Linked DNA regions of Notamacropus eugenii. The protein of the gene in region 1 binds, or shares a complex with, the protein of each later gene. Links are inferred from orthologs where the notes say so. Each region holds a gene or a part of one and is shown in the gene's direction. Other genes may lie near its edges.

Region 1 (8,270 bases):
GAGTCAATGCAGCAGATTTTAGGCACTGTCCCTTTGTGATATTGGACATTTAATTTTCTTGAGAGCAAAAAAAATGAGAAAGGTCAAAGACTTTTGTAGATTGTACAGAAGTCTCACACCTCTATATCATGAATACATTTGTCAAAAAAAAGAGTTGACAGGTACTAAACGTGGTGAGCACCAAACAACATGATAAAGAATGAAACTGATGACATATTAATGGAGAAGCAATCTGGGAGTTATCTCAGTCATCTGACTGCAAGTCAGACAATTCCTTGTTTTGTCAGGGCTAAGATCAGACTTTATAATTAATAAGATAATATTAATGAGAAAAACACATGGTATATAATTAAGATTTAACCTTGAATGAAACAAGCTATTGAAGATAAAAAATGGGAAATGGACAACAAACTACACAGACACAGACTATAATAATTTCATCCAAAAGCTCACTCAATGAAAATTAACTACTACAACAAGAACAAAACAGTACAAAGAGCACATTAGTCAGTAACTATTTGACTTTCTTGCCAGAGAGAGATGACAGCGACACCAGGCTAATAAAATCATGTTGATAAACATTTATTAAGCACACAATATATACCAGGTATTGTACTAGGTGCTGGCAATACAAAGAAAGGCAAGAAAAAAATACTCCCAGCTATCAGGAAACTCATTATCTAATGGAGGGGCCACATGCAAACAACTATGTATAAACAAGATATATACAGGACAAACTGGAGATGATCTCCGAGTGAAGGCACTAAAATTAAAGATTACTGCAAAAGGTGGGATTTTAGCTAAGACTTGAAGAAAGTCAGGAGGTATGGAGAAGGAGCGAGAGAATTCCAGGCATGGGGGACAACCAGTAAAAATGCCTGGGACTGGGAAATGGAGTGTAAAATCCATCTGCTTTGCCACTGTATCCTCAGAATAGCAAGGAGGCTGGTGCTGCTGGATCAGCATATATGGAGGGGAGTAAGGTATAACAAGACTGGAAAGACAGAAAGGGGCTGGGTTTGGAAAGGCTGTATAAGTCAATAAACAGAGAATTTTATATTTAATCCTGGGGTTAAAAGGGAGTCACTGGAGTTTATAGGTATGTGACAAGGTCAGACCTAGGCTTTAGGAAAATAATTTTGACAGCTGAATGGAGGATGGAATAGACTGGGGAGAGAATTGGGGCAGGGAGAGCAACCAGCAAGCAATTGCTATAAACCACACAAAAGGTGATGAGGGCCTGCACCGAGGTGGTGGCAATGTCAGAGAAGAGAGGGAACGTATACAAAAGATATTGCCAAGGTAGAAATGACAGGTGTTGGCAACTGATGGAATATGGGGAGTGAGAGAGTACAAGGTTTTGAGGATGATACCTAGGTTTTGAACCTGGGTGGGGGAAATGGTGCTACCCTTGACAATAAACTAAGAACTAAAAAGGGGAAGATTTGAGTGGAAAGATGAGTTGTTTTGGACATGTTGAATTTCAGATGGCTACAGGACATCTAGTTCAAGATATCCAATAGGCAGTTGGAGATGCAAGACTGGAAGTCAGCAGAGAGGTTAGAGCTGAACAAAGAGATCTAAGAATCATTTCTACAGAGGTGATCATTAAAAACATGGATAAGATCAGCAAGTGTAAAAGTAGAGAGGGGGAAGAGAATTGGGGATGGAAACTTTGGTGAAACTTATGGTTACCAGGATCAACATATAGATGGAAGATTCAGCAAAGGAAACCAAGAAGAGGTCAGACAGGTATGAGGAGAAATAGGAGAGCAATGTCATGAAAACCTAGAGAGAAGAGAAAGGCATATCAAGGAAAGGAGGGAGATCATTAGTGTAAAAGGCTGCAGAAGTCAAAAATGATGAGGACTGGTGGGAATTCATTAGATCTGGCAATTAAATCATTGGTAACTTTGGGGAGCAGTTTCAATTGAATGATGAGACCAGAAGCTGTACTGTAAAGAGTTAAGAGTGAAAGGAAAGGAAGTGGAGTTTCTGGTGGTACATGGCCTTTTTTCAAAGAATTCAGCTATGAAATACAGAAGAGATATAGGGTCACTTCTTCATGTGAGACAGAGTGATGGAAGAAATAGTAGTGCAAGGTATCTGAATGATTTGAGATGAGGAAAGGAGAAAATCACTTGTTTTTTTCAGTGAAATATGAGGTTAGGATACCAAACTCTTCTGGAAAATCTTACAAAGAAGGATGCTGGATATTTGAGCAGTATTATCTCATAAAGCAGAGACAAAATCAGTCTAAAGAAAGTCAGGCAAAATATCCAACTGTGCAGTCATCCTAAAAGAACCCAAGGATGAAAACAGAAAGTGAACTATAAAGAGAAGAGTATTTGAAAAGATTTTCCAAAATTATTACAAGAAACGGTTTTCTCTATCAAGGCTAGTGGAACCACCACACTTAGGCCCTAATATCAGTCTCTAAGGGACTGACAGAAGTAGAATTGGCACTAAAGAACAAAGATGGGAAAAAGAGTTGAATTGGATCAAGTATGTATAGACAAGATCCATGTTGGAGGTGACACAATCGTGAGGTAATGAGGGACTGATTCATGAGGTTATCTAAACGAGGGTACCAAAGGGCTGCGGGGAAAAACCAACAACTAAAAACTCACACCTAATTGATTCCCCCAAAAGTGACTGAGAATATGTCAACAGACTTATGACAGATCTTGTCCAACTGAAGACAATATAGATGGACAATGAGCTAGACCAAGGGTTGAAAAGGAGGATGGGTTGGATTGCTTTCAAGAAAATGCGAAGCACTTTTACTGACCCCTTCCTCCAATCAAGCTCCTCATGACAACAAATGTCCATCTTTTCTTTACAAATATAGTCTATAAAAGCTGGGGTCCTTAGACCAGGTCCCACCAGCACTGATGAGTTGGGTTCTCAAGGGCAGGGAGGTTTCTTTTGATTCCTTCAGCTTGAATCCCCAACCTGGTATGTTCTCCCCAATGGCAATAGCTATTACAGTTAGTCTTTCCCCTAGGAAATTCACCTTAGATACTAGGGCTCTAGGATCATTTAAACAATTAACATTAAATTTGCTTTTAGAAAGGGATATTTACTGAGAGGATATAACAAGAATAGAAGTATAAACTATTCTCCCTGAGCACCTCAGGGCATACTGTCCTCTATACCACCTCAGTCCCTGGGGCTTAGGGGGCACCATTTTAAAGCAGTTGCTACATAGCATTTACTCTGCCAACTTCTCGTCTGAATGAGGTACAGCAAATGGACACAGTCCATGCCTTGCTTGTAGGACCTCATTCAGTGCTTCTGTTACTAGGGTATCACCTACTGCTAGTCTGGGCTCTGTTGGTCATTTTTTTTTTTTTATCAAAAATGTTTATCTAAAAGTTCACAGATTCTAGATTAATAACCCCTGCTTTAGAGACATATAATCTGTCAAAGTTCTTTTTAAAAATTTATTTGTTTTTAACATTCACTTTTATAAGATTTTGAGCTCCTTATGTTCCCCCCTCCCCAAGATGTCAAGCAATTTGATATAGACTATATGTATACAATTATATTCAACATATTTCCACATTAGTCACGTTGTCAAAGAAGAATCAGAACAAAAGGGGAAAACCATAAGAAAGAGAGAAAATAGTCTGCTTTAATCTGTTTTCAGACTCCATAGTCCTTTCTCTGGATGTGGATAGCATTTTTCATCATGAGTCTTTTTGAGTTGTCTTAGATCAGGGGTGGGGAACCTGCAGCCTCAAGGCCACATGTGGCCTTCTAGCTCCTCAAGATTCTCTATGGCAGTGTTGGAGTTTTGTCAGCTTTAACTATGGACTCCGCCACTGAGCCTCTGTTCCTGAAGCTTTTATAATCTTACCAGGTTTTTCTACCTCCAATATTCCTTCACTATACAGCATTAAAATAAAGACACAATGGAAGCAACATGGCTTCATGTGGCTATAGTGGAGAAAGTAGGTTACTGGTACTTCCTCTTTCGGAAACAATAGGGCCATGTGCTTCAGACTGGCTCCTGGTGAGAGGGGGTCTGTGGCCCTGGAGATTGGTAACACCTCTCTGGATGCCAGGGAAGGAAAAAGGGCTGAGTTGCCTTCTCAATAGTTTTTTATTTACAGTCCCAGTTCTGGTTCAGCAGCCAATCAAAAGTCCATGTGTTTAGTGAACTGGAAATAATTAGAATAACTGTGCTGTGCATGCTCTGAGGTGGAGAGCAGGGTCCTCCATTACTCATCCTCACACACTTCCCAAGGCAGGTGTGGCAGCAGGCAGAGGGCACTGCTGTGCTTTGAGGAAACAGCTCTCACTGGTCAGCGTCCCCCTTCCCTCATTGCTTCTGAAAAATTCAAAATGAGCATCACAGAGAGGACAATGGAAAGGTCTGTGGTTGGGGCAAGCAGGCTGCCACATAGAACCAAGTGTAAAAACAGGAGTAAAGGCTATCATCAGAGATGTACGACAGAAGGAGAAGATGGACTGTGCACTAGTAGCTTCTCCAGGTTGGGAGAGAGCAGGAAAGGCCTTCAACAACTTGTGACACACTTTGGGAGGGTTAAGTCGAGAATGGTGCTGGACAGGCTGGCTAGGATGCGTCAGGATGTCCACTGGTGGAGGGAACTCCTAGACGACGAGATCGCAGATTCACTGGTGTATCTTGGAGAAGTCTGGGACTTAAAGACAACTCACGAAACTTGCATTCTTGCGCTTGGCAGCTCCTGACCAGTACTGGTCGAGCTCACCTCCCTTCCCTTCTCTGTGTCTGGTTTCCTCCCTGGCCAAATAAGGCAGCGGTTGTCCGAGGTCCTGCTGTTCTGCCCCCACGGCCTCAGCTGGGCCAGAGGGCAGAGCTCTCAAAATCTCTCCCTCCCTCCTCCCTCCATCTCCTCTCTTCTCTCTCCTTCCCTTCTCCCCCCACGATCTCTTCTCTTTTCCCTTCCCTTCTCTCCTCCATCCCACTCCTCTTCCTCTCTCTGTCCCTTTCCTTCTCCTCTTCTCTCTCCCTCATTCCCTCTATTCTCTCTCCCCTTCTCCATTTTCTCCTCCTCTCTCTACTTATCTCTCTCTCCTCTCCCTCCATTTCCTCTCTACTCTCTTTTCTGTTCCCTTCCTTCTATTTCCTCTTCTCTCTCCCTTTATTTCCTCTCTCTCTCTTTCCACTTCCTCTCTCCCCCTCCCTTGATTTCCTCTCTGCTCTCCACGGCCTGCCTCCTCCCCCACCCGCCTGGGACGCCCGCGCGCAGGCGCAGTGGCGGCGGCGCCCCCTGGCGGCCGAGGGGCGGGGGCGCGGCGGGGCCGCCTCCCTCGCTCGCTCCCTCCCCACCCCGCTCGCTCTCTCTCTGCCTCCTTCCTCGCGCCTCGGCCCAACATGGCGATGCACAACAAGGCGGCGCCGCCGCAGATCCCGGACACCCGGCGGGAACTGGCCGAGCTGGTGAAGCGCAAGCAGGAGCTGGCGGTGAGAGGGCAGGAGGGAGGAGGAGGAAGGCGCTCGGGTCTTCCTCGCCCAGCCCGGGAGCACCTCGGGGCGGGGGTCCGGCCCGGCCCGGCTTCCTGGCGGCCGTTACGCCGGCGGCAGCGGCGCGGGCCCTGGGCTTCTCTGCGAGCCCGGCGCACGGCGCCCCTTCCTCCGCTTCCGCTTCCCGCTCCCCGCGGCCCGGGGGGCCCAGCCTCGCGCCCCGGGGCCCAGCCGCGCTCGCGCCCGCCTCCACGGGCCCGCGCCCCCACGCGCCCCCGGGGACTGCCGGGCGCGAGCCGCGGGGGCGGAGGCGGGGCTGAGCAGCGGGATGGGCGGGGCGGGGGCGGGGCGGATGGGGGAGGGGAACACAGCGGAAGCAGGGTGGGTTTCTGGCTTCATAGATTTAGAGCTAGTCCCACCTCTCCATTTGACAGCTGGGGAAACTGAGGCCCAGGGATGCTCTGTAGGGAAGCACATGGGGAAAGAAAGTGAAGGGGCCTTCTGAGGAGGTGTTCCTGGGATGGGACAGCTGGGGAATTGGGACTTTAGGCGGCGGGATGGAGGGGGAGGGAGGTGGGACTGGGTACTCTCCCAGGAGTGCCTCTGGTGGGGGGTGGGGAGGAGGTAGGTGTGGAAAAGACTTGGAATTGGGAGGTATTTGGGGGAAGGGAGAGGATGGTGTGGGAGGGATAATAGGGTTGGGGGAATGTAGGGTTATTTGGTAAGGGGAGGACAGAAGCAAAGCAAAGTCACCCTTGAACAGAACCTTGCATGGGGCTGGTGGTGGGCCATTCTCACCTGGAGCAGCAAATGTTGGTTACTGTAGCCACAAGGAATCCAGTGACGTTTTCTGGCTCTTGCTAATGGAAAAGGGATCCTGACCCTTAAAAGGCTTTCTGAGCCTTATGGATGGAAGGCCCTTCCAAAGCTTATGCTGCTCTTACAAGAACTTTTTACCAACCTGAGTGAAATTCCCTTTTGGTAGCAGTCAGCCTGCTCCTCTAGGTGTCAAAAGCAGTATTAGTGTAACTCAGAAACAGCAAGGGTTCAATTTACCCCAAATCCTAACTTTGCCTCCCAAAGCCAAAGTGATGATTGTGTAATAAATAGTTTGGGTATAATCATACATCACCTACTCAATGGAGGGTAAGAATTCCGTGGAAATGTACTGAAAAGGTGCTGTCAGGTGTGAATTATTGTGAGGCAAGAGCCTCCGTTTTAAACCTGTTGACTAAATCTCCTTTTGGTCAGACTGAATATTCCAACTTGAAAGGTAGTAGCATCCCTGTGCTTTTTTTGTGTGTGTCCACCAGGAGACGCTGGCAAACTTGGAGAGACAGATCTATGCTTTTGAAGGGAGCTACTTGGAAGACACCCAGATGTATGGCAATATTATTCGGGGCTGGGACCGCTATCTGACAAATCAAAAGTGAGTGTCAGAAAGGCTTCTGTTTTATAGCGGGTGTTTTGGGTAGAATGTCACCAATTTCTGTTTTTAAGAGTGTGTCTCCAGTAGCAGTTTCTAGTTTAATATCTAGCACCATTTGTCATCATATGTGGAGCCATAGAGCTTAGCCAATTCCAGGTAGCAAATTCCCTTAAGTGACTTTACTCAACAGTTCTGTGTGAGTTTGACATCTGGGCTTTTTTTGTTTTACTGAAATAATCAGTCCTCAGGGGTCAGTCCAGTTTCTCTCCTAAACCTATTACTGTGTTTTATGCTGTCGAGTGATGGCAAGAATCCTGAATTTGTAGTTAGAGAGCTTCTGTTTGGATTCCTGCTTTGTTAATTATTTTTTAAAGTGATTGCCCAAAGTCCCATCTCTGGACCTTCATGTCCCTGTCTGTAAAATGAGGAGGTTGGTAATAGATGAGTTCTGAGGTCCCTTCCAGCTTTAATCCACACTTGTAGTTGATATCCGGGAATGACTTCTTCATTTTCCATTCTCAAAACTCTTCTGAAAACTGACCAAAAAAAATCTTGAAATTTAGTGGGTAGAAGCAGAAACTCACCAGATGTGCCTTTTGTATTGTACTGTGTAGTGTACTGTTGCTTCTAAGTTTTAACTCCTAGTGTTTTCTGCTCTTAAAGTAATGGTGCTCATTTGGAAGTCAGAGCATTTGACTGATCTGTACATTTTGAATATGAGGAAACTGTGGCCCAACATGCTGTCACAGAATCTAAGAGTCAGAAAGGTAGCCATGAAGTCCAATCTGAAGCCTGAAATGTAATAGAAGTTAGTGAAACGACAGGACTCTGGAGTGGAAGGAGCCCTATCTCACTTGTCAGTCCTTGGGCTGGTCACTTACTTGAACCTCAGTTTTCTGTACTTTATGATGGCGATTGAAATCCTTGTACTACCTTCTTTACAGGGTAGTGGTGATAAAAGTTCCTTGTAAATTTCTAAACTAGTATTCTAACCCACAAGACACACTACTCCAGTTCATTTTTCATTCCTTTTTAGTAGTGTCTGTCACCCTTGGAGACCAAAGTTGAAGGTAATTTTGATGTTACATTTTGGAATCCTTGGGGATAGACAATGCAGTAGAAACACATTGTGAAATGGAAGCCTGTATGAGAGCTTTAGCTTGTGGTAATGTTAATCTCCCACCCCCTTACTCCACCCTGGTCATTAGGTCCTCTGAGATCATCCTCCAGATGATTTGGATAATTTCTTTTGGTGTCTCTGAGTGGCAAAGTGAGGATGAGAGCTGTGAAAGAGTTGTGAACTGTGCTTAAATCAGCTTTTCAAAGTATAATGACAGCTCAATCAGAAGGTCAAATTAACAACAAGGTATGAAAAAAAGTAGTTTA
Region 2 (7,940 bases), on another chromosome or scaffold:
AAAATATCCAGGGCCCGCGCATGCGCCCGTTCTCCCTACTTCGCCCGCGTTCCAGCCTACACTTTCGGTGGGCGGGAGCAGAAGGAGGACGAGGCCAATCTGGACAAGTCACGAGGTCACATGATGCTGCCCTCACAAGCCCCAGTAAATCCCCGGAGGCTCTGGAGGGTGGGGAGGAGAAGCCGAACTCGCTTGGACTTCCTACCCTATGGTGGCCTGGATGGGTCACTTGGGGTGTGCAGCTGGAGAGTGGGCTAGGAATCAAAGGGTTCAGTAAGTATCCAGTTAGTGAAAAGGAACCGATGGAGGAAAAAACCCTTTGCAAGGGAATTCATAACAAGTTTAGGAACTTGGAGCTAGGTCACAGGTCAAGTTCCAAGAGCCCCGCCTCCGAGATCTACGTGGGGCCCTCCCTCCTGATGTTCCTCAGGATCATCTTCCCGCGTATTCATTCATTCGCGACACGTTTATTAGACTCATTCCGAAGCTGTCAGGCCTCTCCCACAAGCTTCGGAACACACCCGATCACATACTGGCCAAGCAAAGCTTCTGAATGAGTGCAGATCGCCGGGGTCAGAAGGCCGTGGTCAGTGGGTCCTATCACAGGTCATCTAACCCCATCCAAAAGCCATCACGCAGCTCCTGTTCTCAGCCAAGAGTTCTTGTAGGTTCAAAGGAAAATAGGCACAAGACAGAGAGTTCGCTGACATTTCCATCCTGTCGTCTTTGTCCATTCGGTTCCAACAAAGTCTGCCAGAAGTATTGTGGAAATTTGGAGAAGGGAGAAGATCTTTTCTTCCCTATATTCATTTACCCCACGATTATATAAGCTTACCTTGGCAGTATGCTTTCTAGAGATGTACATATTGATCATGAGATTGGAGCTCGCGTTGCCAGAACTTTGCTCAGTGTTTGGGAGGCTCCCAAGGAAAGAGTGGGAAAGAAAAGATATTAGACTATCAAACTGAAGGTCTACAGACTGATTGTGCTGACCTCACGGTTCTATGCTTGTGAAACATGGACACTTTACCAGCTCCATGGCAGGAAACTGAATCGCTTCCATTTGAATTGTCTTAGGAAGATTCTGAAGATCACCTGGCAGGATAAGGTACTGGACCCTGAGGTCCTTCCTAAGACTAAACTGCCAAGCTCTACTGCAGAGTGAAAGTTCAACAGACTGATCACATTGTTCAATTACCAAATGTACACTTGCCTAAAAGACTGTTTTATGGAGAACTCACACAGGGCAAGTATTCACATGGTGGTCTGAAGAAACAGTACAATGTCTTTCCTAAGAACTTTGGAATTGCCAAAAGACTAATGAAAAACGCTATCCATATCCAGAGAAAGAACTACAGTCTGAATGCAGTTCAAAGCATACTATTTTTTCTTCTTTTTTGTTCATTTTTGTTCATGGTTTTTCCCTTTTGTTCTGATTCTTCTTTCACAAAATGACTAGTGCGGAAATATGTGTAAGATGATTGTATATGTATCAGATGGTATGTTGTCTTGGAGAGGAGAGAGGGGAGAGAGAGGAAATTTAGAACTCAAAATCTTATAAAAGTGAATGTTGAAAACTAAAAATTAATTTAAAAAACCAACCAAACAAAAAAAGAACTTTGGAATTGATTGTGTGACATGGGAGACACTGGCACAGGACCACCCAGCATGGTGTGCGCACATCAGAAAGTGTGCTGTGCTCTATGAGCAAAGCAAAATTGAAATTACTAAAAAAAAAAAAAAAATGCAAGATGTGTATTTACACATTTACAGAATCCACCCCAAATATTCACATAGAATATTTGTGTCCGATCTGTATTAGAACAATTCGAGCTTGAGTGGGTCTGATCAGCCACAGTTAGAGGCATTGTAACCTGACTCTAACATAGTGATGTCATTTTGGTCTTGGAGAAGGAAGGACAACAACCAACCAATATGCACCAAATGAACTTTGCTATCTCTTACGCCTAGGAGAAGTCAGGAACTATAGTAATTGCTCCTTGCTGCCATCTACTGGACTTTTTGGTTTTGTTTGTTTGTTTTGGTTTCCCCCCAAATAATGGGTTGCCCATACCAAGCTTTGCAAAGGAGGGAAGAGGGAGGGTAGTTTGGTATATTGGAAAAATTACTGAATTTAGATTCAGACAGGGGACTTGAGTTATGGTCCTGGCTGGACTAGCTTTAACTAAATTATTTAAATTTTCTGTTCTTGTTAGATTATGCCCGATTCTTCGTGACCCCTTTTAGGGTTTACTTGGCAAAGATGCTGGAGTGGCTTGCCATTTCCAGCTCATTTGACAGATGAGGAAACTGAGGCCAACAGGGTTAAGTGACTTGCCCAGGGTCACACAAACTAGTAAGTGTCTGAAGCCAAATTTGAACTCAGGAAGATGAGTCTTCCTGACTTGAAGCCCTATGTTCTACCCACTGTACCACCAGCTGTCCATAACCTTTCCAGGGTTCTGCTATTTCACCTATAAAAGGAGAGGACTGGATATGATCCTGTGAGCTGGTACGAGAGTAGGAGATTTTGAAAACAGATTCTACATGCCTATGAAAATTCTCACAGAGAAAATAATACTGCCCAAGGAGGCTAGGGTTTCTTTCATATAGTGAGTCACTTCTACAATCAGCAGATATGAGAATAAAACTGAGATTAAATTAAAGTTGGACATATCTCCATGACTCTAACCAAAGTGGAATCCAGCCATATGAAGGAAACTCATCACCCTCAGCAATACCTCTGGATCCAGAAGAGAGTGGGATTTGAATGACAAAAACCGCCTCTGTCTACCAGTTTCTTTCTGGCCTAGGAAATTTAATTTTCTCTCCATGTATTAGAAAAGGAATCAGAGTAAAGAGTAATTATATATTCATAACTAAACAAGAGAGGTCAGGGAATGGGCAAGGACATAATGAAGGATTCCTCCTTCTCAATCTTGACTCATGCAGGGGCAGTATGCTCTTCAGGCAAGGCAGCCCCCCCACCCTCTTCTCTGCAACGTTCTGTTTGAGTCATATCCCTGATCTTCCCTAGCAACATTCCTGGCATAGCACATGAGGACACAGGATGATGTGGCAGGGTGTGGGGGAAAGGGTAGGGCAGATTGGTTTTGCACTCCTTAGGAAGTAGGAAAAGGAGCTAATCTCCATTTCCACTAGAAAAGGGAAAATGGCATGATACCTCTAAAAAGAATCATAGAAATAATCCCGTATATATGAGAGACAGTTTGGCATTGTTGATTGATCTCCAAAACATATTGGATTAAGAACAGGTGGAAGGGATGGAGGAGAGGCAAGAAGCTTAGGAATCTTTTTTTCCCCTCAATTATGTTTTTAAAAATTACAAAGTTGAAGTAAATTTACAGGAAAAATATAGCATTAAACTCTAACCTAGTTATCCCATACAGGTTGGACTAGTTTGCCCACTGTGATATCTTTTCCAGCTCTAAATCTCTGCAATTCTGTGAAATTATCTTTTGATCTTTATACATCCGAATAAGGGTCAGACTCCACTGATTTACCTCACCCAATTAAAAGTAACTGCTTTTTTTTTTTTTTTAAGGTAAGAACACGTCTTGATTGAATCAATCAGGCAGAATCAAGTCTGAACAGGGACTACTTACTTCATGCTGGTCTATCCACAGACACTACAGTATAAGCTGCTGTATTGTTACTCGAATATTTCTAGTAAATTGAATTTTGCCTAAATAATAAAGAGGCTATGGGTTAACTACATGTGTATATATAATATATGCCTGCATGTTAATTACTGAATATATTAACATTATATTATATATGTATATGTACATGTACATATATGTATATATGAAGTTAGACAAATAGTCCAATCTCTATCTCAATGTTAGGAATTTTTTTACTTAGGAGCTTGAAGCAATTGTGACTGAATTTATAACTTTTCATCTGAAATATTCTCCCTAAAGCTGAAGAGAAGAAAAATCATAGGGACCTTGCATGCCCTCCGAGGCTTAAAAGAAGCTAGTTATTGTAATACTGTGTTATATATACACGTGCATGTGTTTTTATATATGCTGTACACATACATCTATGTGTATATATACATAGCAAACCTTAAAGTGCTACGTACAAATGCTATCTTCATCATCATTTCCAGAGGAATTATAATGAACATAAAAGATCTCAAAGAGCCTTGTACAATAATGATAATAATGGTTGACTTTTATATATAGGTCTTATTATGTCAGGCACCGTGCCAAGCGCTTTAAAATATTATCTTGATTTCCACACCAGGCGTATGACAGGTGCCATTTTCATGCCCATGTTCTATATCTGTAGCATTATTTTACATAAGCATTTCCTCGTTTCGACCTCGTCCCCACATCACTTTTAACAGCTTTGTTGACAAACCCTGCTTTGGCAGACGTCTGCGCCTTGTGCTAGAGCCCCAGCCTGGGGATGAGAAGCCTTTCTGACACTGATTCGCTGGGTGACCGTTTCTGTTCTTTTAAAAGAGGCTGAATGACACACTCTTCCAACTCTAATGCCACCACCCAAAAACGGATTGAACCCAGACCCAGTGCCTCTCACGTCCTAGTTTACTGGAAATTGCTGAGAGCTTGAGGGGCGGGGAGAGGAGAAGTAGGCGGCCCTAGAGGGAAGGGGGCGGAGCTGTCGAGGCTCCGTGCCAGGAGGCCGGGCTACGGAGAGGGAGGGGTGGAGGAGCAGGGCGGGGCCGCTCCGGAGCTCGGCTCTATCCTCAGCTCGGCGCTCGGCTGCTTCTGCCTGTAACGATTTCTCCTTTCCGGCGGCGACGCTAGGCAGGCGGAAAGCACCGAGCGCCGAGCGAGCTCGGGTCCGCCGCCGGTGACGGCTGGAGCCGGAGGAGGGATGAGCTTGGCTGGGGGCCGAGCACCCCGGAAGACCGCTGGGAACCGATTGTCTGGGCTCTTGGAGGCAGAGGAGGAAGATGAATTCTACCAGACCACTTATGGGGGGTTCACAGAGGCAAGAGCTGGGCCCAGGGAGGGGGCGGGGCTGCGCGAAGGGGTCTGAAAAAGGGCCGGGGGAGGGGGAGGGGGATCGGAGAGTGGCGAGCAGGGGGGAGGGGCTCCCCTCGGCCTTCGCCCTCCGCTGCCCCTGCCTGGGACAGCTGTCGGGAGAGGAGGCCCAGGCCGGTATTTCTGGATCCTTCCCCGGCCGGGGCATCAGGCATCCGCTAGGCCTGGGTTCCAGTGCAGCCTCTGACATTCATCAGCCGTGTGGCCCTGAGCAAGTGACTTCCCTCCCGCCTGCCTCAGTTTCCTCATCTGTCCGCAGTGGGGATGATGATGACGACACCAATAGCCAGCGTTTATGGAGTGCTTTATAAGTATTATTTCATAATAGCACTTACCTCCCAGGGTTGTTGGGGGAATAAATGAAAGAATATTTGGAAGGCGCTTCATGCTAGCCGTAATGATCATCATCCTCTATTCCGTTAGAAATTACAGTAAATTTTAAAGATTGCCAAACACCATATAACTAGGATTACAAGGGCTGCCATTTATGCTTATTATGTGCCAGGAGGTTCCAGTGATTGTGTTTTTGGTGGAGGAGGCACTCAGGGTTAAGTGACTTGCCCAGGGTCACACAGATATAGTAAGTGCCTGAGGGCAGATTTGAACTCAGATCCTCTGGACTCCAGGACCAGTGCTCTCTCCCCTGCACCACCTGCCTGACCCAGACCCAGATGACTCTGAAGGATAAAGTGAGGCTGGTGATTTTGCACAGCCCTTCCTCACTTAAATCCAATTAACTTGTGCATCATGACATCACCTTCCTGATGTCATGGAGAAGGAAGGACAAACAACTATGTGCCAGATCCTTCATTAAGTCCAACACAGTCCTATGAGATAGGTGCTGTTACCATCCTCATTTATAGATGAGGTAACTGAAAACTGAGGCTCCAAGAGATCAAATAATCATAAGCATTTATGAAGCACTTTACAAGTATACTCTTATTTTATCCCCACAACAACCATATTTACAGATGGGAAACCTGAAACCTGAAACACAGAGAGGGTAAGTATCTGAGGTCAGATTTGACCTTAGGTCTTGGTGACTTCAAGTTGCGCTGCATAGTTCCTTTACAGATTTGATTCTGAGTCATAGCACTAATAAAGGTCTGAAGTGAGATTCAATCTTTGGGTCTTTTGGACTACAGGGGTAGTGTTCTTATCCGTGAGGAGATTGAGAAGGGTCCCTAAGCAGTTTGGAGGTTATTTAAACAATCAGTTTGTGAACACTAGGGAAGTGATGAGCAGAGTGAACATATAATTACATGCGAACAAGTGATGGTAATTACCAAGAACAAGAGGCAGTTGGTGGCTCAGTTGGTAGAGCACTGGACTTGGAGTCAGGGAGACGAATTCAAATCCAACCTCGCACACTAGCTGTGTGATCCTGGGCAAGTCCCTTGGCCTCTGCCTCAGATTCCCCAACAACTTCCCCTGGTTCTTGTGAAGATGAAGTGAGGTAACATTTGTAAAGTGCTTACTTAACACAGCTGCTGGTACATAGTAGCATGATATAAACGCTAGGCTAGCAATTGTTATTATTATGCCAGACTGACTTCATTTCTTAGGATCATAAATTTAGAGTTGGATGGGGCAAATAAATTTAGAGCTGTAAAGGTCATGTGGTCTAGCCTTTTTATAGTATGTATAAGGAAAAGCAGGTCCAGAAAGTTGTGATTTACTCAGGGTTACATAAGTAGTAAGCAAAAAAGTCTGGATTTAAATTGAGGTCATCTGACTCCAAGCTTGGTGTTCTTTGCATTCCATGTTTGGTTTGTTCTTTTTTTAAAGAGGTTGTCAAGGGAATGCTTTAGCCATAGTGAACCCAGATTTCTGTAAAGGGTATAACAGTTCTTTATGAGATCTTTATATACAGATGAAGAGAGCTCCATGATAGCATAGTTAAGCGGAAATCTAGATGGAGCCTTTTATCCAAAAAATGTTGGGTTAATAGATCTCCTCACCTGGGGCTCTGTCTTCTGTTTCTTGCTGTTCTATAGTTTTCATCAAAGATGGGGATGAAGGCACAGATATACCTTATTTATAGAATTTGTAAATAACCCTAAGCTAAGAGAAAGTTTTGGATGAGATACTTAGGCTTCAAAATTTTTGGCCTATTGATGTATCATGAAATTTAATAGACATAAATGTAAAATACAGCTCCAGGGTTAAAAACTTAAACTGTATGGGTACAGAATGGAATGGTTCACATGAAACAGCAGTTCGTCTTAAAACAGATCCCGAAGATTTAGAGGAATCATAGAGTTGGCCAGGGATCTCAAGAGTTCATCTAGTCCAACCTGTGCCCAAATAGGAATCCCCTCCACAGTGTTCCTGACAAGTGCTTTACTCAGCCTTCTGACTGAATGCTTCCATTGATGGGGAACTCATCACATACAGCACATTCCTGTTCTAGGATAGTGCCAATGGTTAGGAGATATTTCTTTACATTTAATATTAATCTGCTTTTCTGTTTGTTGCATTCTTTGCTCCCATTCCTCTCCTCTGGGACAAAGCCAAACAAATAATCCTTTTCAACAAATACTCCTTTTCCACATGAGAGCCTTTCAGGTACTTGAGGGCAGTTACCACATCCTCCCTTAGTTTTCTCTAGACTAAACATCCTATCTCCTTCATCTGATTGATGTATAGAGTGTGTTTTTCATTCTCGTCCCCATTCTGCTTACTTATCTATGTATGATCTCCAGCTTGTCGATCATCCTTCTGAAACACGAATGACTGAACACAGTACTAGACCTTAGGCCTCTTTATTGGCTGCCATATTACACTATTAACTTCTAATTAGCTTCAGGTTAAAGAAGCCCCCACATCTTTTTCTTTTTTTAAAATTCAATTAATTTGTTTTCATCTTTCAACAATCACTTCTGTAAATCTTAAATTTTC

The links. The genes of interacting proteins can lie anywhere in the genome.
Region 2: MEAF6 (region 1) and VPS72 share a complex: the UniProt entries of both Homo sapiens proteins name them as parts of the nuA4 histone acetyltransferase complex. The link is inferred for Notamacropus eugenii from reciprocal best matches to the Homo sapiens genes MEAF6 and VPS72.

Annotation. Positions count from the first base shown.
Region 1 is NC_092876.1:81,762,323-81,770,592, forward strand, and holds the start of MEAF6 (chromatin modification-related protein MEAF6), read left to right. Parts: upstream 1-5,251; 5' UTR 5,252-5,365; coding exon 5,366-5,455; intron 5,456-6,768; coding exon 6,769-6,884; intron 6,885-8,270.
Region 2 is NC_092873.1:305,027,504-305,035,443, reverse strand, and holds the start of VPS72 (vacuolar protein sorting-associated protein 72 homolog), read left to right. Parts: upstream 1-4,663; 5' UTR 4,664-4,869; coding exon 4,870-4,986; intron 4,987-7,940. UniProt on the Homo sapiens protein: Deposition-and-exchange histone chaperone specific for H2AZ1, specifically chaperones H2AZ1 and deposits it into nucleosomes.